Linked DNA regions of Bombyx mori. The protein of the gene in region 1 binds, or shares a complex with, the protein of each later gene. Links are inferred from orthologs where the notes say so. Each region holds a gene or a part of one and is shown on either strand. Other genes may lie near its edges. The genes, in order: kinesin-like protein KIF18A and KIF-binding protein.

What was found.
Region 2: the proteins of kinesin-like protein KIF18A (region 1) and KIF-binding protein are in contact, whole or in part, in a cryo-EM structure (PDB 7RSI), measured with the Homo sapiens proteins. The link is inferred for Bombyx mori from reciprocal best matches to the Homo sapiens genes KIF18A and KIFBP. Residues at the interface, in NP_112494.3 of Homo sapiens: Glu181, Thr183, Gln184, Lys185, Gly186, Arg274, Phe275, Val276, Glu277, Gly278, Thr279, Asn280, Ile281, Arg283, Ser284, Leu285, Leu288, Gly289, Val291, Ile292, Arg314, Lys317, Asp318, Gly322, Asn323; in NP_056449.1 of Homo sapiens: Ser150, Glu151, Tyr212, Tyr213, Gln216, His220, Gln238, Ile251, Asn252, Thr255, Gln258, Asn262, Gly414, Tyr415, Val459, Asp460, Leu461, Asn462, Pro463, Gln464, Leu467.

What each region holds. Positions count from the first base shown.
Region 1 is NC_085128.1:15,383,296-15,400,198, forward strand, and holds the end of kinesin-like protein KIF18A, read left to right. Parts: coding exon of another isoform or gene 1-33; intron 34-817; coding exon of another isoform or gene 818-922; intron 923-1,276; coding exon of another isoform or gene 1,277-1,376; intron 1,377-1,463; coding exon of another isoform or gene 1,464-2,236; intron 2,237-2,610; exon of another isoform or gene 2,611-3,070; intron 3,071-3,533; exon of another isoform or gene 3,534-5,631; intron 5,632-5,694; 5' UTR 5,695-6,007; coding exon 6,008-6,562; intron 6,563-6,874; coding exon 6,875-7,093; intron 7,094-7,223; coding exon 7,224-7,429; intron 7,430-7,612; coding exon 7,613-7,772; intron 7,773-8,498; coding exon 8,499-8,643; intron 8,644-9,045; coding exon 9,046-9,227; intron 9,228-9,504; coding exon 9,505-10,420; intron 10,421-11,032; coding exon 11,033-11,167; intron 11,168-11,950; coding exon 11,951-12,072; 3' UTR 12,073-15,207; downstream 15,208-16,903. Other genes in the region: Or-36 (olfactory receptor 36), read right to left, coding at 1-33, 818-922, 1,277-1,376, 1,464-2,236.
Region 2 is NC_085118.1:3,182,086-3,199,506, forward strand, and holds KIF-binding protein, read left to right. Parts: upstream 1-6,423; 5' UTR 6,424-7,319; coding exon 7,320-8,277; intron 8,278-8,389; coding exon 8,390-9,210; 3' UTR 9,211-9,470; downstream 9,471-17,421. Other genes in the region: transmembrane protein 87A, read right to left, coding at 1,044-1,104, 1,913-2,002; mesoderm induction early response protein 1, read left to right, coding at 2,659-3,873. UniProt on the Homo sapiens protein: Activator of KIF1B plus-end-directed microtubule motor activity. Required for organization of axonal microtubules, and axonal outgrowth and maintenance during peripheral and central nervous system development.

The DNA.
Region 1 (16,903 bases):
ACTTTCAAAAGTACTGTAGCTTACTAGTTCGCTCTGTGTGAAGTAGAAAAAAAAAGGTTTTCGAAAAAGTTAATTAAAATTTTATTTAAACCTATAAAAGTTGTTGTTATTGTTACGCCGGTAAGAGTAACGCCATCTATCGCCGAATAGTCGAACGAATATTGAAGGATCTCGTAGCACCTAGAACGCTCGAGAAGTACAACGCCATCTATTGTCAGATAGCGGAAACACAATACTAGAAATGTGTGGAATATTCTCGATAATTCTAAGGATGTGGTATCGGCTATAAAAGCGTTGCAGAGATGGTATGCAGTTAGTTTGTAATCGGAACTACTTGAAGCGAAACAACGAACGGTTCACCTGAAGCGAAGCGGAAGAAGCGAATTGAGTGTTTTAAGTGTTCTAAGTTTTGAATACAGTTTTACAGTACTATTTGAATACAGTACTTTGGTGGAATTTTATGTATCCCGAACCCCATCGCGTAACATTATAAATTGTCTAAAACGTGTTTGATCAGAATCTGTGACGACCGACGAGAAAACCTGTCGTTCAAGGATGTCGGCAGCACTGTAGATCAATAACCATGCTTTAATATCATATTAAATTTTCGCAAAGTAAACATTGAAGTATTATAATTACTTAATATTGACGTTTATAAATATTTACCTTATCCCGGTAACGATGTTATTGAATCAGAAGAGTTCATTCGAAATGTGCTATTTTGTGTTGTTATCTACACTAATTACGACGGCTGGATGGATGAACATCGCTATTCATCAATTCAAATTTAAGAACATTCAGTTTTTTTTTTACTTACTTGAACCGTAACTTCATTGCTATGCCAATAGAATAGTAGCAGCTGTATTAGACACGCCAGCAAGAAGATGAAGCTTGATAATACTGTAGCGAAATCGTCTTCTATCTAAACACACACGAAATATAATTTCTGTAGTCTATAGTTGAGTGAGACGAAACGAAAGCACTTTCATGCATTTTTTTGCTTGCCTTTGTAGGCAGACGAACCTACATAGTCTGTCTAGCCCTCTGGAAATATTGTGGAGGGGATTCAGAGCCAAATGGTACAGGGAAAAAAATATCTCTGGACGAGCACTGTTGATGGAGGCTGCGGTTTCAGATAGTATCGATGAAATCTGTTCCGGTGGCGGGAGATGTGATAGTGATGATGGTTGTATAAGATACATTTTAATAACATAATCATTTGCCAGGAATTTGGACATTAAATTTTTTTAAGTCAAGAGACTGAAATGTTGGATACCTCTGCAATCTGAACGATGCAAACGCTAAGATTGATGGAGCTTACGAATAAATAAACAAACATCACCGGGGATATAAGCGAATTAAATTGTTTTTGGTACCTGAAAAAAAAATACTAGACTTTAGCAAGGTTAATATGTTTTTGAAGTGATCACACAAGAACGCGTATATCTTGATATTATACTTGCTTGATCAAATCCGTGTGAAATTTATGACATTTAATTATATTTTTATGAGTCCGCTCCGGGCTTCCATTTATCATCCTCGAGCATTGCAGTCGAGACATTTGCATCTGACCGGCGAAGAATATCATTATGGACACAACCAGAGTGTCCCAGCCCAAGACATAGAAGCTTACGACATGACCCAGTATAGTTTCGATTCCCATGGAAAAATAATACCCCGGTGGTTCTTCTGAGAATGGTGTATAGCCATCGAAAAGGTGATTGTAGGTAACAGTGCCGTTAACGTCGCTCTGATTATTTTGATATGGCTTACTAAAAACACCAATGTTTGCGATGAATGCTAGGGCCCAGAACGAATATGTAATTTTACGATTACGAGAGATGTAGCTCTGTATTGTTTTAATACTTTTTGGATCTTTCTTTGCTATTTGATCCCGTTCGGTTTTCGAAATAAAACTAACGAGATCCTGCCAGACGTTGTAGTCTTTTTGGAAGAAGCATGTCTTCACGATGCCCATGTGAAATGGCGCGTACTCTAAAATTAGCTGCAACGAGTCGATTTTAAATTTGATAATACATTTTAGGTACTGGCTGACGAAAAATAACACGATGACGTAGAAACAAGCGCGTTTCAAAAGCGTTATATTAGTCTTTGAATTCGGGTACCAAATTCCAGTTAAACTGAGCAGTCGTAGATGCGGACCGACTGAAGGGTGTCTAGAATCTTCTAGAAGTGAGAAAAGTGAAATTATATTTTTCTTTGAATTGAACACCATTGTACCTACAGCGAGCGTTTCCTTTGACAATTCGTTATGAAATATAAGGTAAAAATCAACGAGCTACGGGAATTAATTATGAAGGTGATTGCAATATTCCACCTGTAATTATATGATCGGAATAGCGTGGTGATTTAAAATTCGAACTAATAATTGGAAAGGGATTTATTACGTATGCATGTTGCGAAAATTAAATACCCAATACAAATTAATATTGATGTCATGAAATTGTATTTTGTTTTTAGGCATTTTGAAAAAGAAAAAGATTAAGTTTTTTTTCTAACATCTGACAGAAACATCCTAGATAGAAGTACCTACCCAAAAATAGTGTATGACATCAGTTAATTGGGAATTTGAAAAAAAAAAAAAAAAGATTTTTTTATTGTATTTTAAAACTTTATTAGTAATAATAGGGATATTTAATGCAAAAAACTTAAAAATGTTTTTTCTTCAATTATTTATAAAGAATTAAAAATTGATAGAATTTAAGAAAAATCACGTGACTTATAAACGCGCCATGATTGGTTACCATAGTTGTGACGTCATAATGTTATAGCTATTTATTAACAGTACAGCGTTTACGGCTAATACACGTGACTAGACAATAATATTGAAAATTTATTGCTAAAAAACAAGTTGTTAGTTGGTTACGATTCTATGTGTGATAAAGGATTTATTAAGGCAAAATCTGAATACGATGAATACGATGCCCCTGATCTCTTATCTCTTCTGAACTTTAACGTGCCGCTGACGTCGACAAGGGCTTCTAAGTTGATGGTGTTCAGGGTTCCCAGATTCTACACCAACCTTGGTAAGAACGCGCCTCTCAGCAGACTAGTTGGGGAATTAAATAATTTGCATAACAAGTATTCTCTGGACGTTTTTGCTGGCACTGTTGACAGTTTTAGACGAGAAGTCTACAGCCTTACTCAATGAGTTTTTTAAATTAAGTAATAGCGTATTTGGTAGTAAATGTGTAATAATATAAGGTCTTCATGTAATGTTATATATAGTTTTTCTTTGTTTTTTATATAATGAACCGCTTTTTTTTTATGCATGCAGTCGGTACCTGTAATTGTGTTAGCATTTAGTGTGAAATCAATGTATATGATACCTACCTGTAATGTTCTGTGCTGATGTATAACATGTTGGTACCCAATAAATAAAATAAATAAATCTGATAATATTAATCAAAATCAACACCAATATTTTCAACAGTATTGGCTGATACGGCATCAATGTTTAGTTCTTGAGGATTATAAATTTCCATATTTTGGTTGTGATAAGAAATACTTACGTCGAAATGATCTTCACAATGAAAAAAAAAAATCGATTTTGTTTTGGGATTATCACGGTGCACTGCTTGAAACCATTTATTTCGATATTTGTCATCTTGGGAAACATTTAAAAACATTTTTTCAGGAGTTGTCTATGTAGTTTTCATGCATAATGGTACAAAAGAAGAACGATAACTTTTGAGGTTCGACATTTTCTATATAAATATTTGAATATTTAACGATGATAACAAAATTAAATAGATCAAAACACTGTACTTATTACATATATTAAGTGTATAATCTATGATTACGAGTATTTCTATAATATGAACTGCAATGAGGGAAAACTAACATTATGACGTCACACGCGCTCGGGTTTGATCGGGAGCTGTCGGCGTGTCTTCGGTACTGGATTCAAAAATTAATTTTTATTTTGAAATAACTTTTGAATTATTGCGAAAAAAAAATAAAAAAAAATTGTTTTGTTATAAAACTAATATATGACCTTTCCATTTATCACAAAAAAAAATAATTTTCAAATACCCAATTGTGTTATCACGCTATTTAGTTTTAAACTTCCGTGTGCCTCGTTCATAAGTCATTCTAACATTAATTAATTATATTTATCTGTGTGTCACGTGCACATAAAATATAATACCTAAAGGTATAGAAATAAGATGACTAACTGTAATAACAGATTAACCTCAAAATAAGATAGTAATCTTTACACTTTCATCGTTTATGAATACTTAAAATAAACATAAAAGTGAATACTGACAAATAATCATAATGGAATTGTTCCTATTTCCGAAGTTTTAGTAAGAGTGTCGGCTGAATGCTAAGCCTGTCGTTATGTCCAGATAAGATCGAGAGCGGAAATTAAGAGGAAATTGTATTTGTTTCTTATACAGGGATGGCGTCGTAATAAAGACTACATCGTGCCTATCTAGCCGAGGGCGATGTATATATGAATCTATATAAAATTCTATTAACTTCAGTGTTGTTCTTTCGATTTTGTCTCTTTTTTAGGTTTATGTCGATAAATGATGAAGTGGTAGAGTAGGTAGTTCAAACTTCTGTAGTTTAATACCTCGGTGGCATAGGCTCAGTATTCTTTGGCGGAGGGAGGTTCACTTCATTCTAACATGGTCTGTGTGCTTAGTGTGAGTTTTTTAACGTTCTCGATAGCGTAAAAGTTAACTCAAATTGGTATGCAGTTGGAACAGCGCCCCTGGCGGCAAACGTAGGTAAACGTTAATACACTGCTTACTGCCTCTCACACGTAGGCGGAAAGCCTTTTTTATTTATGGTTAAGAATTTGGTGTATGCAATAAAGCAACGTGATCACGATAAAGTTTTGTATATTGTACAGCATCAAACATATGTAACTAAGATAAGTGTCAGGACTAAAAATTCCAGGCAGTGAATTTGTCACATTGTTTATTTTTTATATTAATATAATTGTAAATAGACATGCTTTAACAAAAACCGACTTCAAATAGAAAAAAAAAGATATTCCGAAACAAATTAATATACCTACACTAAAAACAATAATCATCGAAATCGGTTGGCGTGATATTGAGTTATTGAGTTATTCATCTATACGTCGCGCACGTACTTAATACAAATTTAAGACTTATATGGTTTTCTTATGGATATCATTATCAGGACTGGACTGAAATGGGACGACACGGGAAGCGTCAGCTTTCTAATAAAAAAAGAATCATCAAAATCGATTCAACCACTCAAAAGTTATGAGGTAACAAACCTAAAAAAAAATACAGTCGAATTGAGAACCTCCTCCTTTATTTGAAATCGGTTAAAAAGAGCTACTTAAATAGGAACCAATCATTCTTTGATTTTGCACCGTATACTTTTTCAGAGTACTTAGAACCGGAATGAAATCAAATTTATTAATATTAATATAATAATAAAATTAAATTGTAAAAAAGACATGGAATTATGTGATTTGAGAGAAGGTCTAGAATATAATTAAATTCATTGAGTTTCCTACAGATTTTTATTCCCAAGCCGAAGAGATAGACAATGTAAAAACAAGCAAATGCAAATTTTATTAATACTACATTAGACTATTACTTTATTTTGTCTTATCACTATTAGTTATATTTGACTATAATTTATTTTAGTTTAATTTTACTTTTTTTTAAAACTTCATTTCAGATTTAAATGACAAGACTGTATGAACTTAGTTCCGTTTGCTTGCTCAGGCAGAAATATCAAATAAAAAATGCGCTAGTGTAATGTGTAGAACAGATATGTCAATTCAAAATTTTGACGGTTAGAATTTTGAATTTTAATAAAACTTCGTTTCTGTTTGTGAAGAAATAGTCAAAAATTAATTAAATAACTCGTCCAATTGAGCGAATGTGATGCAGAAAAGGCGTTATTGTTTGAGTGGCGGTTGATTGTACTCGTGTGGATTGCTAGAAGTGTAATCTCATTTCATGATAAAGTTATAAAGTGCGTTGGAATTATGGTGAAAATAGAGAAGCGGCCCGTCGCTACGGGTTTTAAAGGCTCTGGTGGTGGAATAGTGCCGTCTAAATGCGGTTCTACACAAAACATGGCTGCGAACATCAAAGTTGTAGTGAGAGTACGTCCTTTGAACGAAAAAGAGTTGGATCTCAACAGTCGCGTTGTTGTAGACGTCGTAGATGACAAAATGTTAGTGTTTGACCCTAAGGAAGAGATCAGGCCATTCTTCTACCAGGGTGTACAGCAACCGAACAAAAACTTTTTAAAACGTGCTAATAAAGAGTTGAAGTTTGTTTTTGATAATGTTTGTGGTCAAGAAGCATCGAATAAGGACGTTTTTGAAACTACAACGAAAGATATGCTTGCGGCTCTGATGGAAGGCTACAATTGTTCAGTATTTGTGTATGGCGCTACTGGTGCAGGGAAGACATTCACTATGATCGGCAGTAATGAGCACCCTGGCATAACTTACCTGACCATGGAACATCTGTTCTATACTATTAATCAGTTTGAAAAGGAGAGGGAATTTGATATAGGAGTCTCTTATATTGAAGTAAGTTTTTAAAATACCACTTACAAAGTTATCAGTATTATCTTGTCTTGGCTATATACCAACTGTTGGTTGTTCTTTGGAATGTTAGTGAGCCCCATTTTTTTTTTAAAAGTCTTTTTATTTACTTTATGTTTTCTTCCTTTACTTTTTATTTATCAAAATGGAAATTGTGCTCTTTTGTTGTAAAGGCACAATTTAAATATAAATTAAAATGAATAATCACTAAATTGTCTAGTTAAAATGTTAACTTCTTAAATATTGTATTATAACTGATTTTTAATTAAGTTTGAAGCATAATTACTTGGATTTTAGGTATACAATGAAAATGTATATGATCTCCTTAAACCTTCAAAAACTCCCTTGCAACTTCGAGAGGACTCAAAGTATGGTGTTATGGTTGCCGGTCTGACACTGAACAATATTAAAACAGCTAGGGAACTCCTTAACATGCTTGAAAATGGAAACAAGAACAGGACCCAGCATCCTACAGATGCAAATGCTGAGAGTTCAAGAAGTCATGCTGTTTTTCAGGTGAGCATTAGTAACATGTTAGAAAATGTGGGCTGGTAAATTTGTGTATAACTCAATTATATATAATTTTTTTCAATTTCACAGTGTGAATGTAAATTTGTATTTTTAATATTTCTCATTTTATTACTAGGTATATGTAAAAATGAGATACAAAACTAGCAGTCAACTACGTCTTGTTAAGCTATCAATGATTGATTTGGCTGGAAGTGAGCGAGCTTCTGCTACAGGTTGCGTGGGAGAGAGGTTTAAAGAAGGTGCCAATATCAACAAGAGTTTGCTATCGTTAGGCAATTGTATTAATAAACTAGCTGATGGAAGCAACTACATTCCGTACAGGTAGATTATAATTAATTGTTTAAACTCAAAATTGTACTCTTATTATTACTCATGTCATTAGAGTCAGTTGGCCAAAATTAGGCCAAAAACTTACAATAATAAAAGAAGCCCAAAATACACTGTAATGCACTGAATCCCCTATTTTTGTTCAACATAGTTAAGTTTAAATAATAATTTTTTTAGAGACTCAAAATTAACTCGGTTGCTAAAGGACAGCCTAGGTGGTAACTGTAAAACGGTGATGATAGCAAATGTATCTCCGTCAAGTGTCAGTTACGAAGATACATACAATACTCTCAAGTATGCAGCTAGAGCTAATAAGATTCAGCTCAGTATTAAGAAGGTAAATATTGATTACCCTATATCAGGATTCACTTCATATTTGATGAAGTCCATATTATGTTTTATAAGAAGAATTGAAGTCGTCGTAGCCTAAAGGATAAGACTCTCAGTGCATTTGTATGAAGCGATGTGACTGTACCAATGTTCGAATCTGCAGGCATGTACCAACTTTTCTAATGAAATATGTACTTAACAAATGTTCATGACTGATTGCCACAATTGAGGAATAACATAGTGTAATAAAAATCAAACCCACAAAATTATAATTTGCATAATAACTGGTGGTAGGACGTCTTATTAGTCTACACAAGTAGGTACCACTACCCTGCCTATTTCTGCCGTGAAGCAGTTATGCGTTTCGGCTTAAAGGCTACTGCTGCTTCACGTATTGTACTATATAACTATGTAGATGTTGGTATTTAGATTGTTGAATTCAATGGGCTCTGCTAACCATTTAACACCAGGTGGGCAGTGAGCTCGTCCACACATCTATTGATTCCACCTAACGTTCTTGGACCGTTTCAGATCCTAAATTTATTCTTATCTAGAATATATCTTTGATCAAACTTTAAAATAATAATGTGTTATTGTTCATTACTTTTGATATGTTATCCATATCTTTTAGAAATTCTAACGTCCGTTATTCTCCTAGCTATCCTACAGCGTCTTGTATAGCCGTAGCCATAATTCACAAGTGTTTTAAAAAGTATTTTTCTTTTTTAACCAGAACATTGTTGACGGTGACATGCGCTTGTCACAATATGTGAAGATTAATGAAGAATTGAAAAAGAAAGTAAAAGAGTTGGAAGCCAAGCTGTCTTTGTCTAGCGTTAAAAATGTGTCAAAAGAACCTGACATGGTGAAGGAGAAAGGTAAAAATGAGAAATATTTTATTTGATTTGTCATTACTTGTTAACTTTCGTTAATTCATTTACATTACATTTGTCATTACTTGTTAACTTTCGTTAATTCGTTTTTATTTACCAATAATCGATTCTAGTGTTTTGACAACACTATGTAAAGTGGTAGTAGTATGTTGTGCAATTTATGGTATGTGACACGGTTCAGGCTATGTAATATTTTGGGCTCAGGCAACTAAGATTTTATCAAATATCAGACCAAATAGTTGCATTCACATTCTGTTGAATGTGAGCGTAAGTAATCACCTAACACCAGATAGGCTTCAAGCTCTTCATATAAGCTAAATTAATAAAAAATAACAGATTGTGGCATGTTTATTTTTATAATTTAATTTGTTTATATTAAAAATATAGCGATAAAGGAATGGCGGCGTCGCATCATTGACTGCGATTCTGTTCATGCTTCATTGGAGACCGAATTATTGAACTTGATGTCGAGACAACGGGTGCTGGCCTTGCGACAGCGTTTACGGACCAGAGCATTCTCGCATGTCGCCGATCTAGCGCATCGATCCTCCTACGAGGCAATGGAACAGGTAAAAACAAATTATATTAATTTTGGATTTGAAATCTGAGTTGGATACAATATCATTAACATCATATAATTTGGGAAACTGGAATGGGCCATAGAATTTCTCAAATCCTAAACCTAAATGACATTTTGAAAAAGAAGCCCAAAGTAATAATGTTCTTTTTAAAAATTTGTTAAAATTTTCAATTATAGTTATATTGTAAGCACTTAACTAGACTTATGCTGGTATTCCTAAGGTATTACCGTTTTGATTCAGCTTGAATACAAATTTATTAATTCAGGTTTGCAATGAAGATATACCGAGGCAAGAAAGAGCAGCTGAAAGCTACATAAAACAAACGGTGCACTTAGATTCTCAGATAATGTCGACTTGGACTAAATGGGATGACAGTCGCAAGAGACTACATGTAGTATGCAATCAAGCTGTATCTGACTTCACTGAATTAGCTGATTTTGTGGAAAACATACATTTAAAGAGTGAACTTAGACATATAAAGGCTAGAGATAACCTCAGATACAAATTATTGTCCATTGAAAATGAAGAAATCAATGCCTTCACTGAATATATGAGCGAAATGCCAAGCATGCTTAAGAAATTATATCTAACATTAAAAGGCTATGACAAAGCACCCCCAGCTTTGACTGCTGAATATATAGAAATAATGAAAAAAGCGAAATTAGCTAAGGCCATCACATGGTCTGACAAAGACAGTGAAATCGATTCTAATTTCAAATTCATATCGAGCCTAGATATACAGAAGCCAACAACCGCCATAGACTACGACAAGAAGGATGAAGGCAACATGACCATAGACATAATGACAGACAGTGATGATTTGACCGACATTGAAAACAGAGAGCCGATTAAAGTTCTTAAACGTAAAGGGACGCCAATTAAACTGCCAAATAATGAAACCATATTAATTAATGACTCCTTTGAAAGTTTGGATGCGACCAGAAATCTTAACTCAGCCAAGAAAATCAAAAGGGAGAAAGAATTTGACATTGCTCCTGATATTGAAAACTACAACGTAGTAGATCCTAACGATTTGAATTCTACCTTTGTGTTGGCGGGTAAAATGGACGCATTGAGGAAACCAATCAAGACCGAATCAAAAGTGGAAGTACAACCAGTCAAGAGAGGACTCGTGGATAGGACTAATACTATACAAAGGACAATTAACTTCGGTGATAAGGGTGAGATGACAAGTTTTTTTATGAGTTACGACTCTGCGAACATCTGTTGTTCGCAAGTATCCGCAAGAACTGTTGCACGCTGCGTTTCGAGATAAATAAATGTTCCACCAGAGTACAACTTAAAACTATATTTATCACTTAGAACACTCACAGAACACTTTAAAATTCTTAATTCACTTCTTCCGCTTCGCTTCGGGTGATCCGTTCACTGTTTCGCTCCGAGTAGTTCCGATTACTAAATCACTCGTGCCATCTCTGCAACGCTTTTATAGTCGATACGACATCCCTAGATTTATTGAAAACATTCCTCACAAGTCGAGTATTTTCGATGTGCGTTTCCGCTATCTGACAAGAGATGGCGTTGTACATCTCGAGCGTTCTAGTTGTTACTAGATCCTTTGATATTCGTTTCGGCTATTCGGCGATAGATGGCGTTACTCTTACCGACGTAACAGTACTATAAGACTTTTTCTTGATATTTATTTTAGCATTGTTTTTGAATTATGTATATTTAATGAATCTAATATTTTTACGAGTTACAAAGTTATTATGAATTCTATTTTAAAACGTGGACTAGTAAAAACAGAGTAAAATGGTAATGTCTGTCAGCAGCTAAGCTAGTGAAACCCGTAGTGGGTAAAGCGATACCGTTCCGGCGGCCCGGCCCGCAGCCCGGCGCGCCGCGGGGGCCCGGCTTCGGGTCCAGCCTGTCCCGCGACGGAACTCCGCTGCAGAGGAACGTGCAAGGTAAATGTTAAAATAAATGACGAAGATTTCGGTCATTGTGTTTAACCTGGCTAGTACGGCTAGGTTAATTTCTATAAAATGATAGTATAGTTTTTGTTGGTGGTAAGACCTCTTGTGAGTCCGCGTGTGTAGGTACCACCACCCTACCTATTTCTGCCGTGAAACTGTAATGCGTTTCGGTTTGAAGGGTGGGGCAGCCGTTGTAACTATACTGAGACCTTAGAACTTATCTCAAGGTGGGTGGCGCATTTACGCTGTAGATGTCTATGGGCTCCAGTAACCACTTAACACCAGATGGGCTGTGAGCTCGTCCAACCATCTAAGCAATAAAAAAAATAAAATTATATGTTAATATCAGGAACATTTCATTAGTTAAATTTTAATTTTTATTTAAACATTTTATTAATTTTTTTTTTATATACTTTGTGGATAGACCTAATAAAAATACAAGCAAATCAACTCACTATAGGAGTAGTAAAATGTTTTACATGACCGTCTCTCACATAATGAACACACCCTTAAAATACTATTAATGAATTAAGATACTCTTTTGAATTCTAATGCTCGTTTGAAAGCTTACGAAACTGTTTGACGCGACTGAACGTAAAATCTAACGACAACTAACCATTTGTTTTTCATGTTTGTGTTGTTCTGTGCCGTCCTGTGTCCTGTGCCGTCTTGTGTCCTCCCGTGCCCTGTGCCGTCGTGTGCCCTGTGCCGTCGTGTGTCCTGTGCCGTCGTGTGTCCTGTGCCGTCGTGTGCCGTCGACTAACAAACTAACAGACGCGTCTCGTACAAAGACGAATGTCACTCAAAAGTCAGTTGGTTTCAAAGCCGTCCGCGCGAGGGAGCGCGTGCAGAACCACCCCTACTCCAGGCCGCCCGCCCTCGCCGCCAGGAAGTGAACGGAGCACCACGGTATAATGAAGACGTTGTACTGTGTATGTGTTGTATGTTAATTGTGTAATTACTAAACTGCCTTCACACGTTGAGTTTTTGAGTCGAATCATATAGATAACCATATATGGGCAGTTCTTATAATACGCTTTTATTAGCTTCAGACGTATGTATGTATGTTTGTAACGGAATCTTTGAACATGATTTTGACCCCCTTCAAAACGTCGGATTAACTCGAAATTTGGTATACTTATTAAGGACCGATGACAATTCAATATTTAAAAATAAAATTGAAAAAAAATTAAAAAAATTAAAATTCAACTAAAAAATGAAAAAGATTTTTTTCTATTTTTTAGTTGAATTTTCTATAAAGGCGTATTTTGTTAGTTTTTTTAAACTATTATTTATTTCTCAAGAACTTACCTCAAAACATTTTGCAAGGGAATTACTCGAAAACAAAGCGATGACTCTTAAAAGGTGAGTTAGTAGTAAACGATTGTAAACGAATTCGTTGATGGTACTGAGACGGTGACCTATCCCGAATGTTGATGCTGAAACTTTTACAATGCAATCCAGTGGATTCGGACAAACATACATTAATTATTATTTATATTCGATATTCGATTTGTATTCGACGATAACTATTCGATTTGTAATATTAATTTTGTTACGGAAGTGATAAAAACAATTTTGTTACCGGATCAACCAGCTCGCACCAACCACTCACCTTCAGGTGGGCCGTATGCTCGTCTGCCTACACGAGCAATAAAAAAAAACGTATATACGTAATAAGAGGATTATCACGTCGCGCCGCTTTGTCGAAGTAGGCGCCTGCCCTGCCCTCGCGACTGGACCCTCCCACTGCCTCGCGACGAGGGCAGCGGTACATTCTCGGGTAGTCTCCGTGGCACATCCTATCTCCAGTAAATTGAGAAGCTCCCTTCGTTTCAGCTCTGAACACCAATCATTTTGATCAACAAATATTAAATCTTGTATACTTTAACGCTTTTTTTTTATGAAAAAGTGACTTAAAACAACGTTATTCATTTTCACACTAAATATTAATTTAATGGAGAAAGTTTGTTGTACTCAAAATACGCTTCGATACTTAGTTTTATCAAGGTCGTGTTTTGAGACGATAAGAAAACCGAAATTTCATTTGTTATTCCAAAGCAAAACTTATCATTTTGAGTAATTTTGAATAATATACAATCGAACAAAACTTTGAGGTCTATAAACTCTTACTCATAATGTGTTTAAGAGCTTTATAAACCCGTTGTAATAATCATGACAAAAAGCGTTATCTGTCTTCTAATAGGCTAATAATCTTCTAGTACTATAAATAAAACTTAATAATTATTTGTATATTGGTTTGTCCTCTATGTGTTGCAAAAATATTCATGTGATTGCAACGAAACTTGGAAAATTACTGTTGTGTTTCCTTCACAGTACCATCAACTGATAACAGGTGGTGACCTGGGAATACTTTCAAGAAATCAGTTTTTTATAGAAATCAGCGGTAGGCGTGACCGAGATTCGGTAGTTTTTCATTTAAATGTATAAAATCATACGGATAATTCGACCCGGTCAATACTCATAGAACGAGTTTACAAAGCTCGGATATCTAATAATGAATAAGACCGTTAAATTGAAGTGCCGACCGCTCGTGTGACGCTTCCCGCTAGGTTAACGCACGGTCGTTGACCTCGAGCGTCAGCTGATCGCAGGAATATTATATTACCGTCTCAGGATTATCAGTACTGTCATAGCATTCTCGTTCTTGTGAGCGGTTTCCTTGCGCCCCGTAAACACGTTTGGACGTGTACCCCAGTTTAATTTACGCGATGTCTGATTTTGTCGTTACTTGACGCCCATGTCGTATCTTGTAACTATACTTGAGACCTTAGAACTTATTTCTCAAGAATATCTCAAGGTGGGATGTCTATGGGCTCCAGTAACCACTTAACACCAGGTGGGCTGTGAGCTCGTTCACCCATATAAGCAAATAAAAAAAAAATGCAAAATTGGACATCCACTTTGTGTCAAGTTTGTCTCAAAGAATCGAAGACCGAGAACTAAAAATAAAACTGTTTTTGTATGTCACTGAAAATAATACAACATACTTAATTATCCATTATTGTTAGTTATAAAATAAAACTTTTTTTTTTAAATATTATATTGTAATTTTTATGATGGCTTTAAACTTTATAATTCAGAGTTTCAATAATTTGTAAACTTGTTTTTTTAACGCGGCAACAACGTGTTTCGTAGAGTTATTTTTTGATAAAAAAAATACGATTGTGTAAGTGTGTTGCAAGATAAAAGAATCACTTTCTTACATCTAACTGTCAAACCATTCAGAAAAGTATGAAGAGTATATTTATGACCGTGGAATGAATTTAATACTCAAACGTTTTTCCTATTATAGAGATGCGAAATACACAGAAATAAATAAATAAAGCATTTTATTGCAGTTGCTCATTAATGCAACGTAACCTTTATTTATCAGTGTTCACGAGTCATATTTTGTCAGTAATATCTGTTGACAGCTTGTCAGCAATACCAGTCTCTAGTTTGTCAGCAATATATATTGACAGCTTGTCAGCAATATTGGTCTCTAGTTTGTCAAAAATAGCAATTTGACACTAAGATTTCCAACATTCACTGGAAAGCTAATCTACGTGGCCTATAATATTCTTACTAGTTGAACTGCAAGCATCTTAATACATACATATATCATACTCAGTTTGTAGCGTTTACTAGCGTTATTTGATATCTTTTATCTTGTATACAAGCAAACTTCTGTGTTATTGAATACTTTCTTTATAATTTCAATGTATTTTTATTCAATATTTGTATGTACCTTACTTATATTCTAGAAAAGTCTAGTGTAACGCGCCACTAATATGAATTGATTAACAATAACTTGCACTAAGGAACGAAGTAGATATATTTTTCTATGTTAGTATAGTTGTGCACTAAAGTGCCAGTTTTGACAGTTTTGTGTGTGTTTATTAACTATATTGAATAAAATGACTGAAGTGTATTAAGTATGTTTTATAATAAGAATATAATTTATGCAAGTTTTTGATATGAGATTGTGTATGTAATTCGTGTGAAAGTATTAAATTTTGTAAATATTTGTTTTGGTATTTTGCTTTATTAGTAAAAGTCATCCAAGTTGCGATCCATTAACGGTGCTTTTAGGAACCATAAGCACCGGTCACCGTCCTCGTCGAACCCGTCGCTTGCGACGAAGGGTTCGACGAGCGAATTAACCCACAGACACAGCCCACTGAGTTTCTCGCCGGATCTTCTCAGTGGGTCGCGTTTCCGATCCGGTGGTAGATTCTGCGAAGCACTGCTCTTGCTAGGGCCAGTGTTAGCAACACTACGGTTTGAGCCCCGTGAGCTCACCTGCACACGTTAGGGCGAAGGTGAAATATCCTCTCAAGGCTCAAGGCATAGGTAGGGAAAAAAATCCAAGTTCTGTCATGAAATAGTTTATTATTTGTTGAAACTAGTCATTCACGTTTTGAATGAAATAGTACATACCGTAATAAAAAAAAAAACTTTTCTGAGGTGCCAACAATTATTGCCAGTCAATCGGATACACCACGTGTGAAAGCATCGACTACAACTACGGAATAGATAAATCTATTGATAAATCTATTCCGTGATAAGAACGATTGTTTTTTTTACATTTAAAACTTTTTGAAGAGCCTTGTTACTTACCCGAGGCTACGTATGAGACTCGAAGTTCGCGAGCATCCTTTGCAAGTGCAATTTAATTTTTGAAAATCCTAAGAAAGGCCCAGCAAAAACTCTGTCCTTTAGGCCCTGGCTTTAAATGACATTGACACTATTGTTCAAAACGAAACACAAATTAATTAATTCTGCGATGTCTGGTTTAGTCTCGCGAGAAAGCATGTTAATCTATTTTGCAAAAATACTGCACCACATATATGTATACCGGTGTTATCGTACGCAAAGCATCTTGAGCAATAGGACACGAAAGCAAAATCTCATACTGAATTGGATAATGCTTTGAGATAAATTCTCCTCGGCAAGCCTGGGATTAGTAAAAAATCAAGGGAATAATGTAATGATTAGATAGTGGGAAGCTTTATTGTGTTACATTAACGTAGATTATATGATGATAATAATAATTAGCTCTTAGACTAGAAAAGTACTTGTTATCGCTGAGCCCCCAAACTCGGCATCTCCGGTGGACTGTGAACTCTCTAACTGCCCTACTTTTGTTGAGAAAAGCAAAGGATAAATTACCCTTAGTACCTTCCGTGCTTGATGATAGAATTCTTAAACAAGTTTAATCGTCCTATAAATTTTTGTCTAGATTTTCCAATGCAAGTTCTATCATAGCTAAAGAGAGTTAGACGTCAAACCGGTGGTAAAATTTTAACCCGATCAAACTTTTCGACCCCGAAAGGTTTGTGAAAATAAAATCAATATGTATCGGTGCCTTTTAAAGCGAAATATTCAATTTAAGATTTTTCATTTTCTATATTTGCCGCTTGAAGCAGGTCACATACGACGTGCATACGTTTTAATTAAATTTACTTAATTCATCTCCGGGTACGGCGCTGTGAGAGTGTCGTATCTAATTACGGCCAGGACAAATTGAAGGCTTTGAAATGCACCCCTCATGCACTTGTGCTCTCGTAGTGCAGGGAGGAATGTATTCTGAGTGTTTACGGAATACCCTAGTTTTATTTACGTCGCTTATACTGGTTTCATAGACACTATTGGTTGGATGAATTATATGTACTAGTGGTGGCCCGGTAGTCGAAATTCGACTATAATTAATCGAAATTATAA
Region 2 (17,421 bases), on another chromosome or scaffold:
ACTAACTATAGTTATTCCAATTCAAAGGTTATTGATAGAGTTTTGCTATTTGTTTTCCCAGTAAAGTAAAATTATGAAATTTGTGTTAAGTAACCAACATTAATTATTAACAATTTCAGTTAATTATTAGTTCAGTTAGTAGAAATTATGAGATAAAGTGATAAATTCAACTGTAAAATAACTATGAGACTGATTATTAGATTGAAATTTCAATAAAATCTTTTTGCTATGTACAGAACATCACACTGTAATAAATAGTTTTAAATAGACAATTTCTATATTAGGAATGAAATAGAATGATAATTAAACTGAGCAGTCAATTTGAATTGACATGCATACAATGTCCAATTTGTCAAAATCGAAAGTAAAAGTAGATTCACAATCGGCTTGATAATTAAATTGACTTAGTCACTTATTTAACTCCTTATATATTTTTTTAGTTGATCTAATTGAAATAAGTAACAGTTATTGCCTGAGGCAGAATCAATTTTAAGTCCATTTTAAAAATATAAAAGATTTTTTTTTGGTATGACTGTTGGGTGACCATACTTTAAACTGCCAAAAAGGAAAGCAATCGTTTTCTTAAGCTGAAGATATATCTCACTATTAATTATCCCGGGAAAAATAAACCCGAAAGTGGAAATCTTGTGGATGTTGAAAGGCCAAATTTCTCCTGTGGACTATCTATAATTTAAAATTAGTTGATACTTTATGAATATCAATTTAAAAACTCCCTTCTACTGACCGAACTCTATAATTTAAGGACATCAAAAAATTAGGCAAAAACTTGGCTGTACAATCACTCACTATCAGGTGGTCCTACAAAGGTAACAAAAAAAGTAATAGTGTTACAATCTGCTTTGGATAATCTTTTTTTTTTAAATAAAACCTCATTCCCGTTTTGCCTCTCCTGTTGTACCTTGCCTTTGTGTGCCAAGATATAGTTGATTCAGTTTATCATCTGATTTAAGAAATTTGTAGTAGTTGATTTATAACAGATTTGTTTGTCACTTATTTTAAGAGCATTAATAAGTAATACTTACTTGCAATTATAAGCTTTGTATTCTTAAATAATGACTTTGCTAATGTGAAATGACAATCATCCTGAAACCAAAAAGTATATTGCATTACTGGGCATATTATGGTTTGATAGGAACTTGGGTGGTTCAGATTTCACAAGTAGAGTAGATCAGATTACATCCCTATGGTGGTGCAACCAAATTGGCAACTTAATGCCTATAAAAGGTAATTTGTCAAACAGCAAGTCTTATCTTGGGCTAGATTTATCCTAACCTAGTCTAATCTTATCTCCTTTCTTTTCTTCTTTTTGCTAACTTCTTTTCTTTCCATATGTCCCATAATAACTGGGTAACTAAAATCTATACTTAGGTATTTAAATTATTGGTATAGACAATAGATCTGTTATGACACAGCTGCTCCCAGTTGAGGATAAGATCAATTGGTTTCTAAAGTTTTGAAGCTATTTAATAATATTTGTTAAGAATATTGTAAGATTACTGCTTGTAGTATGTTTCAAACCCTGGCAGAGTTTCATCCTCAATATAAGTACATGGACCTTGTTCTCATTAAGATATGATTGTTATTTACAGTTATTACAGTTAATTATTAGTTTAGTTTCACAGCTTTTGGCTTGGGCCAAGGCTAAAGGGAGCCAAATCTACAGTTTTAACTGAAAATCATGTTTGATTGGACTATGTTGCAGCTATACCAGGTTATTATTTTCATGAACGTACACTAAGTAAAGATGTGACAATATTATCGTCTCTTTTTTTTTCAATCACTCAATTCTGACGACACGTTCAATACTATTTCTGTATCTATTATTTTTATCTAACTACCGCAGCTACCCAAGATAATTATGAAATTAAACTGAAATTTTATTTAAACTTACGCCACTAAGTTCCAAATCCCACTTTCCGACATCGGAAAAACTGTGCGTACATTTTACAATTACAATAAAAATAAGAAGCTTAAGAAACATTGTAAATTACATAAATGTACTGTAATATTATAAATATTTCATTGCAGTCAATATGTAACCAAGCAACATTTTCCAATAAAAATCTATTTTTTTGCATTAAGCCACAACAACGAATAATATGATCACCGCGCTTAGAATTAACTTTTCTGACATTGATTGATATTTGACAAATGTATGTGTTTTTTTGACAAAATATACATCGCGATAACTTTACAACCTATCTCCTCAAATATTAAGTGCATTATTTAAGATCTATCTGTAGACGTCGTTTGTTTACTTAAGTCAAGAATTATTAAATATTACTTAGATATTCTCTACTATAATACTCCATTTAAAAAAAAACATTGGCTTTACATACCCGTTGAAAATAATGAATTTTGTAATTATTGCAAAGCTTAGCTGTATGGTCAACGTCCTCTTGCCTGATTTTCAAGAAAAACAAAACGACCCACAAAAAGTAATTTGACATTGTGGTTGTCGTGTCAAAATATTTTTGTTTTGTTCTTGGAATATTTAATAAAATAATCGGTTATTGTGTTATTATTCTAATGTTTTATGTTTACTTTTATTACAAACCGTACATTTTGTTACACCTAAAGACTATTTATCATAATTAATGAAGTTAAAATTTCATCCAACTTGTTACTGTATTAGTCATGTCAGATTGCGCGCTGGTTACCAATGTAAGCGAACACGATGCGAGCATGGATGTGGGGAGCGACAAGTCTCTATTCGAGCCTACTGTTGATATGATGGTCAATGATTTCGATGACGAGAGAACTTTAGACGAAGAAGAAGCTTTAGCTGCAGGCGAGCAACAGGACCCTAAGGCCGAGCTCAATAGCCTTCAGAAGGAGGGAGATATGCCTTTAGAGGAACTCCTGGCTCTGTACGGTTACGACAGAAACATGGAAAAGCCAATTCCTGACCAAGTTCCAGAAGTAGTTCCTGAGGAAACTGAGAGAACGGAGAGGGCTGAGAGGACTGAGAGAAATGAATCTGCCCTTTCCCAATTATACAATGAGAATGCAAACCCTGAAGCTACTAGATGCCTTCGGTCTGGCTCAAGGCCTCCCTCTGAGGAGGAAGATGATTATGATTACAGTCCAGATGAGGAAGACTGGAAAAAAACTATAATGGTTGGTAGTGACTATCAAGCTGCTATACCTGAGGGTCTATGCAGCTATGATGATGCATTACCTTATGAAAATGAAGATAAATTACTATGGAATCCTTCTATTCTTGATGAAAGAATCACTGAAGAGTACATGCGAAAAGTGTGTGCTCTGAATTTAGGCACCGGGATTGAATTAATTCCAAAAGGAAAACAGCTTCGTGATGATGAAGAGGCCCTGTACTTATTGCAACAATGTGGCCACAATGCAGAGGAAGCCTTGAGACGGAAACGCATTTCTGCACAAACTCCACCTCACGCAAGTCTTTGGTCAGAAGAAGAATGCCGAAATTTTGAAAATGGCCTAAAAGCACACGGAAAAGACTTTCACTTGATAAGGCAGAACAAAGTACGAACTCGGTCTGTCGGAGAACTCGTCCAATTCTACTATATTTGGAAAAAAACTGAAAGGCATGATATATTTGCAAATAAGGCTAGATTGGAGAAGAAAAAGTATACTTTGCATCCTGGTCACACTGATTACATGGATAGGTTCTTAGAGGAGCAAGAGGCAAGTGGAGGAAGTGTGGTGCGACCTGCATCTCCATCGCCCATGATGGACTATGCAACCTCTCCTGTCACTCAACCCGACCCTCTTGCTCTTGGTGAGAAAGAAGTATTTTCACAGTTAAATACACATAACACACCCCCGAGGGCCATGTCGACAGAAGAACCAGAAGCAGACACTGGACCGTAATTTTAATTTCTCACTTTGTAGAATGCACTGTTTGTAATATACTTAAGTAAATTTTAAATTAGAAAGATAAAAAAATGCTGTAATATGTGTTTAATTCTGTGTTGATTTTATTTGAAATAGCTTTTGCTAAATTGTATATTTCAACCTAAATAATGAATATAGTTTATAGTTTATATGTCAATATTCTTACTGTAGACTTAAACTATAAGCAGTGGTTGTTTATGTACGTTAGTATAATAATGTTCATTGAAAAAAATGTAGAATGAAGAATGTCTCACTATAATCGTTGATTCAGGTGTATTGTTCAGTAACCGTGAAGCATGGAGCAAGAGCTTGTTTTTAAGTCACAAAAATAAAGTAATTTTTAAAAGTTTAAAATTCTTTAGGAATATTATCCATTAATACCTAATGTAGGTTAGTATATAAATATATCAATCTTAATGTTAAAAAAATATAGGTATAGAATTCTATCATTTTCTGTAGATGTGTATTAAGCTCTTGTGACATAGCTTTCAAGAAATCAATTTTAATGATTTTACATATTTAATTTTGGATTATCCAATTTGTAATTTAAATTAGTAATTTTCTAAAATCTGTATACTCTTTATAGACACAGCTATTGTGTTCATTAATTTTCTTAACAATGCAAACTATAAAAGTGAGTAAATGCTTGTGAGATTGTACACAGCGAAGGCTGCTTAGTCAGGGATGACTATAGATTGTTTCGAACAACTACTAACATAGATAAGACATTTAGAAACTTATTTTTTTTAACACCTATATGATACACAGACCTGTTTTTGTTCATTTTTTTTTAACACCTATATGATACACAGACCTGTTTTTGTTCATTCCTCATCTGCATGGATGCATAAATTAAAAATCGCCTATCTTTTGTTTGTTATTGTACACATAATTATTATTGTATCCATAAATAGTACCTAATTTTCTAATTTCATATATTAAATACCAATCTCAGATTTAATTCACTGTTTCATACATACAGATAGATAGGCTGCTGAAATTATCAGGGTTTATTTTATTGCCATTTTGCTATGGGATTTTAAAACGTAATAGACCTAAAATAAGATAAATTCCCTTATTCATAAATCATATTGACATTAATTATTTCTACAGTATTTTTATATTTCTGACTGGATTTTATTTAAATGAATGAGTATGGTGGTTTATTAGCATTTGATTTGTACAATGTACAAAATAATATTAATTTGTTAATAATATTTGTGAATAAGGGAGTAAAATAATTAAATTATGAATTTATGAATGTACCTGTCTATATCTAGATGGGTGTCGTATAAAATTGTGGATTATTTCATGAAAATAAACAGTGCAAAATGTTTTTGTTTATTTCACACTAGCTTTTGCTCGCGACTTCGTCTGCGTGGAATAGTTACTTTGGCATAACGCTAAATTTTACCCGCCTCTTCATTTACGTAGAAAGTGAAAATATTTTTGAATAATAGAATGTTGAGGAGTTATTTAAGGTACCAAAATCCCGTTTTTTATCCGACTTCAAAAGAGAAAGTTATCAATTCGACCGTAATTTTTTATTTAGATATGTTCATGGATTCCTCGAGAATGCTTGAACCGATTCTGATAATTCTTTTTTTTTTTTCTTCCAAAAGGTAGACTTCTCGAATGGTCCTGTTTACAACAGATTGATGATCGGATCTTGGAGAAATCCAGAAAAATCTTTAATTGTCAAAGCCTATCTTGAAGTGGTTTGGGTGTTTCAATGTTGTAATGAATAACGTATTTATTTATCATCTTCTTTATCAATATCATCTTTGTAAAAACACCTTCAGAAATAATGCTTTATTTTAGAACAAATTTGTATACCATAAAAACGTTATAGTGAGCCAACCTATATAGACATCGAGATTATATTAAATACGTACGTATAATGTACGTAGTACATAATATCTCGATGTATATAGACCTAATTATGCTGTCGCGGACTTTTTTTTAGATCTTTTAAAGGGGAACAATTCTCTCATACATTACTTTAGCGAAACTTAAACCGCAGCGCACGCAGTGGAAGCTCTCAAAAGGAACTAAAACCCCGATTTTGAAATATTCCTCATTGGTGCTCCGCTTGCATTGGTCTTAGCGTAATGTTATATAGCCTATAGCCTTCCTCGATAAATGGGTTATCTATCACTGAAAGAGTTTTTCAAATCGGACCAGTAGTTCCTGAGATTAGCGCGTTCAAACAAACAAACTCTTCAGCTTTATAATATTTAAAAAAAAAGTATAGATAATAATATCTAAGTTTGGAGCCATTAAAATTTTTAGTTACACTTCAGAATCGCTGTAGACAGTGACTACGGTCCTCCCTCTTTCTCTGAAGGAGTCAGTGTCAAGACAATTTTCTCTGAGTCTGAACAAATATGCATAACGCAGTTTGCGTCACTATGTCACGCATGAGAGTGAATTCCTTACTTTGTTTACTCAACTAGGATTTTGTGATGTGTAGGCTACGTTACCCCATTATAATGCTTCGGTAACAATTCTATTTTTTTTTTTTAGGATAGCTGTTGGCCCGAAAGCCTTTCCAGTTTCACCAGGATATGTGGGCGAGCAAAGGCTCAGCCAAGAGGGATGGGATTTGCTAACAGCTGAACAAAGGAGACCTAACAACTCCAGAACAGCTGCTTCGCGGATGAATGTACTATCGGATCGGAATCGCGATCCACTAAGAAACAGCGGGCTGATGGATGGGTTAGGTTACACGTCTAACTCTTTGCCGAGTACGATAAACAGGTTCCTTAAGCCAGTTCCTAGTGTTAGAAACAGTTCAACATGCGTGGGTTGGTTTACCTACTTATACTAATAAATACAAACGATGACATCTTAGATCGAATGCAAAAGGTAATGAGCGGAGGGGCTGTCGTAAAAAGACTGATGGACTGTGTGAAATAGGATATACGAGAGAAGTGTGTAATTGCAGAGATAAAGTATGATAGATCTGAGAGGAAAAAGAAGGCATTTTGCACCGATTCCAGATGTGTAGTAAGCATGTGACTCCGATAGTGAGTTATGGGCAAGAAGAAGAGTAGAATCGAGTAAAAATCAATAGTGTTGAATATCGATATAAAAATAAATTCCTAGAAACTACATTGTAACTTCACTAGTGTCAGTTGTTTAATTGTTCAGTTGTCAAAATGATTTTTAAACCTTGAATTTCATGAAATTTTCTCCACTCGATATGCACGTAGATACTATCAGTATGATTTTCACATAGGATTTTTTCTAAAACATTTTGTACGAAAGGTGTGTGAAATTTGAACGATATTTACTGTTAAACAATATCTGTTAAAATAGTTGTTGAATTTGATCTTGCAATTCATTTCACAACATCATACAACCTATGTTGTAACGCCGCATACAAATATTGATTGAAATTTCATTGAAAGTTCGAAACCATGACTAGAGAAATGAGTGCTAAAGAGATACTTAATGATTTTAAAGAGAATTATATTAAATTCCGGAAGCTACTTGACGAAGACAGCAAGAATGATCCTGAAAATGCACCATATTTTTCTAAGTACAAAGCTAAAGAAATATTGAATAATATGTATGTTTTTTTAAAGACCTTAAAGACTGAAGGTTCCCCTGTCGATGATACCAAACTCGATGCTATGATCGGATATGTTTTGTTGAACATTGGTATAGTAGAAATGGATACAGAGGAACCTACTGCTAGTGAAAAGAGTCTCAATGAAGCTGTTGATCTCCTTCTGGAAAATGCTCTAAAACCCGAAATAGTTGTGACACTTATTAATGTCTACAACAATATTGGAATCTTATGGTCCAACAGAGATGACCCTGAAAAAGCAAAAGCTTCATTGGTTAAGGCAAAAACTTTGTATGAGGACTTTAAGTGCACTCTACAGATGCCATTACCTATAGAAGTCATTATAAATTATGTTGGGGAAACTTTAATAGATGATTTTATGTATTTGGAAAAATCTTATACTTTGACCTTGTATTATTTAGCTCAGGTGTTTGGTGTGTTAAAGGAGAACTTGAAATCAGCAATATATTGTCATGTAACATTAAGGAGACAGCTGGAATATAATGATTATGAACCTATAGACTGGGCATTGAATTCAGCTACATTGTCACAGTTCTTTGCTGAGCAAAATGGGTTTTACCAGTCAAGGAATCATTTAGCAGCTGCATCAACAATCCTTGATCAATATAAGCAACTGTTGGAGGCTGCAGTTGATCAAGATGAGGAATACTTAGCAAAACTAGAGACTTTTAAACATAGGTCTGCAGATGTTGCTAGGTGCTGGGCCAAATACTGTCTTTTATTGATGATAGCTTCAAAAACTAGGCTACTGGATGATGATGAAAAACTATCAGAGTCTATTACAGGTCAGTTATGCATCTAATATTTCTGTATTTATCCCCTTGTCTTAATTTTCTTAAATCTATGTTTTATCTTTGAAATTTTAAAATAGCTTTAATATAAAACTCTTCATTTCAGATATGTCAAACCTCAGCTTAGAAGACACTGAAAACATTTGTGAAGGTAATCTTAAGAAACTGACTTTTCCGAATCTCGATGTTACAAAATATGAAAGCAAAATAGGAGATAAGTACCTCCTGACTTATGAAGATGCTAGAGCAATTTTTTTAAGTTGCCAAAACTGGTTGAACCAAGCCAAGGAATATTATAAACTAGAAACGTTGGCTTCAGATTATATAGAACTTATTTTAGATAGCTCTCAGGCATACAATAATCTAGCATTTTTTGAGGATAATGATGATCGTAGGGCTAAAATGTTGAAGAGGCGAATTGATATGCTTGAAAACTTATTGAATGAAATAAATCCTACATATTATTTACAATACTGTAGACAGATTTGGTACGAACTCGGTGTTGTTTACACAGACATTTTGAACATAAAAATAGATAAATGGCCCAAGAGCGAAGCGACAGTTCAAGCAAGAAAAAAAATTGATTTGCTATGCAATAAAAGTATTGAAAGTTACACCAACTTTATTAATTCGATAAACGATAAAAATGGAAAAGTACCTGCAAAAATTGACCAGGAATTAATAAGACCTCTGATAAATGCTCTTGTTGCAGTCGGTAGGAACAGTATGAAACGCATGGCTGTAAATAAAATAAACCAATTGTGCCATGTTCAGAAAAGCCTTGATTCATACCAAACTGTTGTGGACATCTGTGATACACACGAAGAAGTTGCAGTGATGTTCACTGAAGAGTATAAGTTATGCCAAGAAATGTGTCAGATTTTACCTTTAAAAATCAAGAAGTTGCAAACCGAAATTGCTGGATAGAAGAAATAGTTGAAACTAAAGAGTTTTATGAATTATTGTATGGTTATTAATAAGACTTGGTTTGCTTCATATTTAAAATATAAAAGTAAAAATCAATTTATATTCGCAAAAGTAAACATTCATTATTTTATTAAGTAAATGTTTTATGATCTCGATTACATTACATATTATTAACTATGTAATCATACCTGGCCAGGCTTTTGTTTGGCTTTGTTTGAAATTAATAACTTCCAAATTAAATAGATTTTGTCACAATTAAATGGGTTTTTAGTATAATCATGCTCGAAAAACGAGCTCTTTCTGAAATTAAAAATGCCTATGTTACTCCTTGAAACGTCGGCTATGTCCGTTAGTTAAAGCTCGTTCTGTGTGTTAAGTGCGAGATTTTTAACGTTTTTGATAGGTAACGTAAAAGCTAACTTTAATTTGTATGGCGTTTGAACATTTGCCTACGTTTGCCGCTAGGGGCGCTGTTTCAACTGCATACAAATGTAAGTGAATTTTTACACGATTGAGACCGTTAAAAAACTCGCACTAAGCGTACAGATCGGTACTAGCGTTACAGAGATTAGCCAAAAACAGACTGACTTTTTTTTTTTCTCTACCTATGCTGATTGCCTTGAGAGGCTATTTCAGCTTACCCTAGCGTGTTTAGGTGAGCTCACGGGGCTCAAACCGGAGAGTTGCTAACACTGACTCTAACAAGAGCAGTGCTTCGTAGAATCTACCACCGGATCGGAAACGCGACCCACTGAGAAGATCCGGCGAGAAACTCAGTGGGCTGTGTCTGTGGGTTAATTCGCTCGTCGAGCCCTTCGTCGCAAGCGACGGGTTCGACGAGGACGGTGACCGGTGCTTGTGGCGCCTAAAAGCACCGTTAATGGATCAGGAGGATCCGTAATGACGTGCTTTGGGCGACGTCGACGGTTTACCATTCGGTCTACTGGGTCGGGTATGTAGTTTCCAGCGGCCACGATGAGAGGGTTCTCATGTCGTGCCGTCTTCTCAAAATGGCGCAGCGATGCCGACTGTAGGTACTTACTAACTGAATCGAGCTCCAGGTCATCGTGGAGATCCACGTTCCTCAGGAACCATGGTGCTCCGACGGCTATCCTGCAGAATCGGGATTGAATAACCTGAAGGGATTTCAAGTTGGTGCGGGCTACGTGAGCGAACACTACGCCTGCTTACGTCATGACGGAGCGTATGCAAGTTTTGTAGAGAGTTACCTTATTACGGAAGGACAGTTTGCTTCGACTACAAAGCATTGGGTAGAGTCGTCCTAGTATAAACGCGGCACGGTCGCGTAACGTTTTAATATGGGGACGGAATGTCATCCCTCTGTCGAGGGTGACGCCTAGGTATTTGACCTTCGAGACCCACGGTATGGGCTGGCCAAAGAGAGTGATGGGGCTAACGGCGGAGGTGTTTGCGCGCCTATTAAGGAGTGGGATGCTCGAAGTGGTACAGCCTGACAAACACGATTTTTTTCGTATTCTAGTGATGTGATGTCGATGAGCGACGTCGACCACTCAGCATCAGGCGGGCCATAAATATTTTCATACGAATTTAGATGCTATTATGAAATTTAAATTTAATAAAAAAAAAATCTTGAGTTATGTGTACCATGACATGGGGTAAATTGGGATCCTGGGGTAAATTGGGACAAACCTGCGGAAGATTCTCAAAGTACCTGTAGCACGGAATCTACCTAATTTTGTTTATGTTAATATTTATCAATGTATAGAAGAAAAACCAAGTTAACTATGGAAGTACTAAATATGAGTTAAGTAGGTCCCAAAAATTCGTCAAATTAAATTGAAAATAGTGGTTGAAAAGTGCGTTTTAAAACAGCTTACAGAACTTTTAAAAAAAGTAATATTATCGTTGTTTTTTCAATAAGATCACAGTTTATATAAGTTTTTAATACACCTGGAAATACCACAACAAACGGTAAGTTGCAATATTCTTATTTTAAATACAATATTTCGACAAAATAAAAAATGTATAATTTTTCCTTTCTTTTTGGGGAAAATTGGGACGTATGTAGGGTAATTTGGAACGAGACTGGAAAAACTAGGGACGAGAAAACACAAAATTGGAACGCCAAAAGACAAAATAGGGATGGATTGTTAGGGTTGTCACTGATATCTTATAATAGATTTTTTAGCCTATACTATCACTCGATTGCGTGATGTAAAGAAGGTTAATGTGTTTATCAGTTAGTTTATGTAAGTACTATAGGTAAAAGAAAAGTATATATATAATTACATTTTTTCGCGACATTTACCTTATAATATCTGCCTGGTCGTATGTCCTTTATAGCAATAAAATAAAATTAAAAATTAAAAAGAACTCAAACGAATCAAAACTTTTGTTATTTCAGAATGATTTTTTTAACATTCACAACGCACATACAAATAAAAACAGGCCTCAGATTTTAAATGTAACATTAATTAAAAATCCGAGATATCTAGGTTCCAATTATGAATGAGTGAATTAATTGAGTTTAGTTATTTAGCTTAGAAAGAATTTCTTTTATTTTTGTTATTATAGGCAGTAATCAGATAAATCTGCTTTTTTATCTTATTCACCTGATATCTTACTCTTGCTCAAAGATTATTTTGAAAATGTTGATTAAATAAAATTGTATTATTGCATTTCCAGTCCTTTTGTTTTCTATTTTTTATTCTATTTTATCATTTGGTTTCAGAGTTGTGATTTTTAAGGAAATTAAATAATAATTTTCTAAAATATAACATGCACATACTTTTTTTGATCATTGTATTGTTGATTATCATTCACGTCACATCGCTTCGGAATAGAAACCAGCTTAATTTACACTATGTTGTGTATTGTGCTTAAATTATGGATTGTATTCATCATTTCGGTCCATATAAATAATTGTATGGCACCTACCTACCTACCTATATATCGCAGTACCGCGAACTGACAACCCTTACAAATATCCCAATTTAACCCTTACCCGTGTCAATTTACCCCAAATGCGGGGTAAATTGGGATGGCCATTATTTTTCCGATTATTTCTTTAAATTGAATAATTAAAATAATGTAACGGTTTTTATCACCTAGGTACGTTCAAGACTCAACTTATTTCTTTGGTTGAGCAGTGACTATTTAATTGGAACTATGTTAAAATTCAATCTGAAGTTCGATTTTGTCCCTATTTACCCCATTTTACGGTATCTACCTAATAAATATGACTACATTTAAGAGGTGAATGAAGTTAGCCCCTCAAAAAAATTTTTTTTTCCTGTTTTCTACTTATTTTCTATTAATTCGTTTGTTCATCATTTGTTCTTGATTGTTCACTGTTAATAATTGTTTGTTCCCCATTTATTTATTTTAAAAAAAATATTAAAAATATATCTAAAAGTTAGCCCCTCGATTGCAATTTTTAATATTTTTTCGTCCTTAATTACTCGTAAATATTCATTTTCGATTGTTCTTATATAAAATACGTTTGTTCTCTTTCGAAATTACTCATTTTTTGTTTAATTAATTGTATTAGTTGAATAAATGTATACAAAATATGTGTACTGCGCATGCCATAAGTGTATAATCTATGGCGCATGCGTCAACTATAATCTCAAATATAATAAGTGTATAATCTATGACTATAATGCCTAAACTTTCTACGCGGTTTTAATCGTGAAAAAAAAAACAATTATAAATCCTGAAGGATCAATTAATTGGTATACAGTTTAATTAAAAAAATAAAGAAATAAAATAATGTGCATTCGCGTAAAGTTAGACCAAATACATTTTTTCCATCCTCCTATATACCTATCGCTATGAAGGTATAAAAAAGATAGGTTAAGAGTTCACATAGGTAATATAAACAAATAAGTAAATATGTTCATTATTTATCTTTCAAGAGATAATGTAGGTATACATTATAATAACATTTTGACACAGTCGAAATTATATTCCTAACATTAGTAAAATAACATTTTAATATTTTTTTTATAGGTTATGTATTGAAATTGTTGGAAAATTATTTCATGTTTTAGCTGGAAAACGACATGGAGAATTATATGCAATACAAGATAATGAGCTCCATCAAATGAATTCGAATGAAACCAAACTGTTTACCATCCAAATTCGATTGTCGGGCAGATAGAAAACGAAAATTCACTCATAGTGAACCTCGGCCTGCATTTGTGAAACGGCAAAGACTCACTATTATCGAGGAAATTGAAGAGACGACTAAAAATGAGATGTGTCGTATTATTTATACCTTTGCCATCTTGTAGTCAAGGTAGGTGTAACTGTCAATAATTAGTTACACTCACAGATCTCCTAATCAAATAACAATATCAGAAAAAATGAGAATAGTTAGTTAGTTAGTGGAAGTAGCCAAAATGGGCAAGTGGATCTCAGTTCCTATTACATAAGGTACTAGGAAGTTTGTAAAAATGAAAATTTATCACAGTGTAATATCACTTACTTACTTTAACAGTGAAGGAAAACATTGTGATGAAACCTGCACACCTAAATGTTCTTAGGATTTTCTTAGGTGTGTAATCCACCAACCAGCACTAGGCCAGCGTGGTGGACTAAGGCCTAAAAACCCTCTCAATGGTAGTGAAGGCCAGTGTCCAGCAAGGGGATATATTATATGGGCTGATGATGATGACTAGGAAGTTAAATACTACTACTACTACTACGACAGTACACATATAATCCTATATATTTACAAACTATATGTTTGTTGGAAATTGCTAACATTATTTCATATTTCCAGATGTCCAGCCACTTGAAAATAGGTGTAGTAATGACAAAGCTATCCAAGTAGCTCCAGCACAGGAACACAAAGGCAAGGCAAGTGTGTATTGCCACATCACCCCTTAATATATCTGAAGCAAGTATAAGTAAACAATCAGAACCAGCAAAAAAAAAAAACTGTTGTTCCTGAGGACAAATTTGACAGTGATGAGTCAAATGCACCAGCAACAGAAGGATCAACTGTTGACTATGGGTTATAGAAGAAGAAGATTAATTAATAAATATGAATTAATTTAAATTATCGTGCAAAATTCGTGGTCAAAACATATGTGTATTTTATAAATAAATATTCATTCTCAGTATTAATGTTGTTTTAATCATCGATTGAAAAATTGGTTCTTAATGAATTTAGTTGGAGCTAAATGCTGCTTGGAGCTTAATACTTTCGAATAACATAAACACGTGACTTTAAGCATAAACATATTTTTTAGGTAAATACTTTATTTAGCTTTGCTGGATTTATCCAAGATTTCGACATACGAAAATTTCATACAGGAACGACGCTATCTGATTGAATACCCTTATAGAATTGAGCTTCGAAGAAAAGTTTATTCTTATTCTTTATTAGACTTTATTCTAGTTGCAGTGTCGGTTAGAGAAGCTGTGCAAGCTTCTCTAACCGATACTGCATGGAATAAATAGTCATTATAATTATAAAATATATTTCTGTTTACATACCATACAATTTTCATAGTTCAAATATGAATTTGGATTGATATGAATTTATTTCGATTATCAAAATAATTTGTATTAAACATTTATATTTCCTCAAAATTTCTATTTTTATAATAATGACTGTGACCACCCCATAAATCACAAAATTAAAAATATTAAAGATAACTTATTTTTAAATCATATATTAAAAATTATAAACAGATCGCGAATTAAAATATTATATTATGCCTATCATTCTTAAATAATTCAGTAATGAATTTTCGCATCGCCGCGCCGTATATAATTAATATGAATAATAGGGTATTGCCCACTGTGCTAAGAAAAACATAAATTATGTTTTTTTGATAGATCTACAAACAAGCAAGTGAGTAATGCTATGTTTCCATAAATAAAACGGCAAAAAAAAATTAAAGAAAGATATTATGCACAAGTTCAAATGCATATGTATTGTGCTAAAAGTAAAACTTGCTACTTTTGTGTAGCATCCAGCAACTTTGAAAAAAATAATCAGGTCACTATAATTAGTAGGTATTGATTTTGATTCCGAGTAAGTTGCACAGTTGTTAGATAATGTAGTTTCTTTTTGGAAGAATAACAATTTTCTAATCTTACACAAAAATGTAATGTTAAATATTTAAAAAAAACTTTATACCTATTTTCCTTTTAGGGAGTACAAAATATTGATGTGTACAAAGTGAATGTGATTTAATAAAAATAATATTTCAATTTAAATTATGTTTTATTAAAAATTATTCTTAACATACAGGTACAAAGGTTACATAACATTAATATTTATTCCTTTTCATATATATAAGCCCATATTTAGCACATTTGTGGAAAACCGAATTAAAAATAATAATGAGTTGCTAGCCATAGAAGACCAGCATAAAAGTCTTATTAAAATCTGTTCAGTAGTTTTTGAATGAAGAGTGAAAATACTTACAAAACTTCCTATTTATAAGTAAGGATTACTTATTTAATTAAAGAGTTTTGTAGGTGGCAAACTATCTAAAAACTTTCTATTTTCCACCAAGTTGACATCAATTATCCTTCCTGCATATATATTTATTGTATTGTTTTTTTTATAGTCTAACAAGGGGTGATATTACATTTGCAATTTCTGGGAGTTTGTTGAAAAATATATTGCTTGCTTGACTTACAGATAAATCAAAATCATCAGCCAATTGAGAGAATGTTCTATTTAATGTTATTCTCATCAGACATAATATAATATTTTGTTCAGAAACATTTGTATGTTTCTCAATCAAGCCTATTATGAAACATAATTCTTGTGGAAGACCAATATATAAACGTTGTTTATTTTTCACTTTAGATAAACTTGTTAACACATTCATTTTTTCAACTTTTTAGTCTTCTTGAGAGCTATAGTCTGAAGTGCACAAGTCTTTGATGGAGTGGAGATATAGAGAGATAACTCATAGTCAACAGTTGATCCTTCTGTTGCTGGTGCATTTGACTCATCACTGTCAAATTTGTCCTCAGGAACAACAGTTTTTTTTTGCTGGTTCTGATTGTTTACTTATACTTGCTTCAGATATATTAAGGGGTGATGTGGCAATACACACTTGCCTTGCCTTTGTGTTCCTGTGCTGGAGCTACTTGGATAGCTTTGTCATTACTACACCTATTTTCAAGTGGCTGGACATCTGGAAATATGAAATAATGTTAGCAATTTCCAACAAACGTATAGTTTGTAAATATATAGGATTATATGTGTACTGTCGTAGTAGTAGTAGTAGTATTTAACTTCCTAGTCATCATCATCAGCCCATATAATATATCCCCTTGCTGGACACTGGCCTTCACTACCATTGAGAGGGTTTTTAGGCCTTAGTCCACCACGCTGGCCTAGTGCTGGTTGGTGGATTACACACCTAAGAAAATCCTAAGAACATTTAGGTGTGCAGGTTTCATCACAATGTTTTCCTTCACTGTTAAAGTAAGTAAGTGATATTACACTGTGATAAATTTTCATTTTCATTTCATAAAACCGCGTAGAAAGTTTAGGCATTATAGTTGACGCATGCGCCATAGATTATACACTTATGGCATGCGCAGTACACATATTTTGTATACATTTATTCAACTAATACAATTAATTAAACAAAAAATGAGTAATTTCGAAAGAGAACAAACGTATTTTATATAAGAACAATCGAAAATGAATATTTACGAGTAATTAAGGACGAAAAAATATTAAAAATTGCAATCGAGGGGCTAACTTTTAGATATATTTTTAATATTTTTTTTAAAATAAATAAATGGGGAACAAACAATTATTAACAGTGAACAATCAAGAACAAATGATGAACAAACGAATTAATAGAAAATAAGTAGAAAACAGCAAAAAAAAATTTTTTTGTGGGGCTAACTTCATTCACCTACATTTAAGGATGGGTTTTGAATTTTGCATCCACATTTCATTAATTGTTAAACTGATGAGATACGGGGAATCAAGTTCATACAGCCAAAGGTTCGTATAAACGGCTGTACGGTGTAGGCTTAGTATAACATCACTCTATTTCGGTAAAAACACAGAAATGTAATAACATCAATAAAAAACTAAAGTATTTTGAAATTATTGCTTGTCGGGATTACATTATGTAGGTATGTATGGGCAAAATATAATACTATAATTATTTTACTCCAATTGCCCAAACACGGTTATGACTTTCGAACACCATCGCACTTCCCGCGACAGCAGAT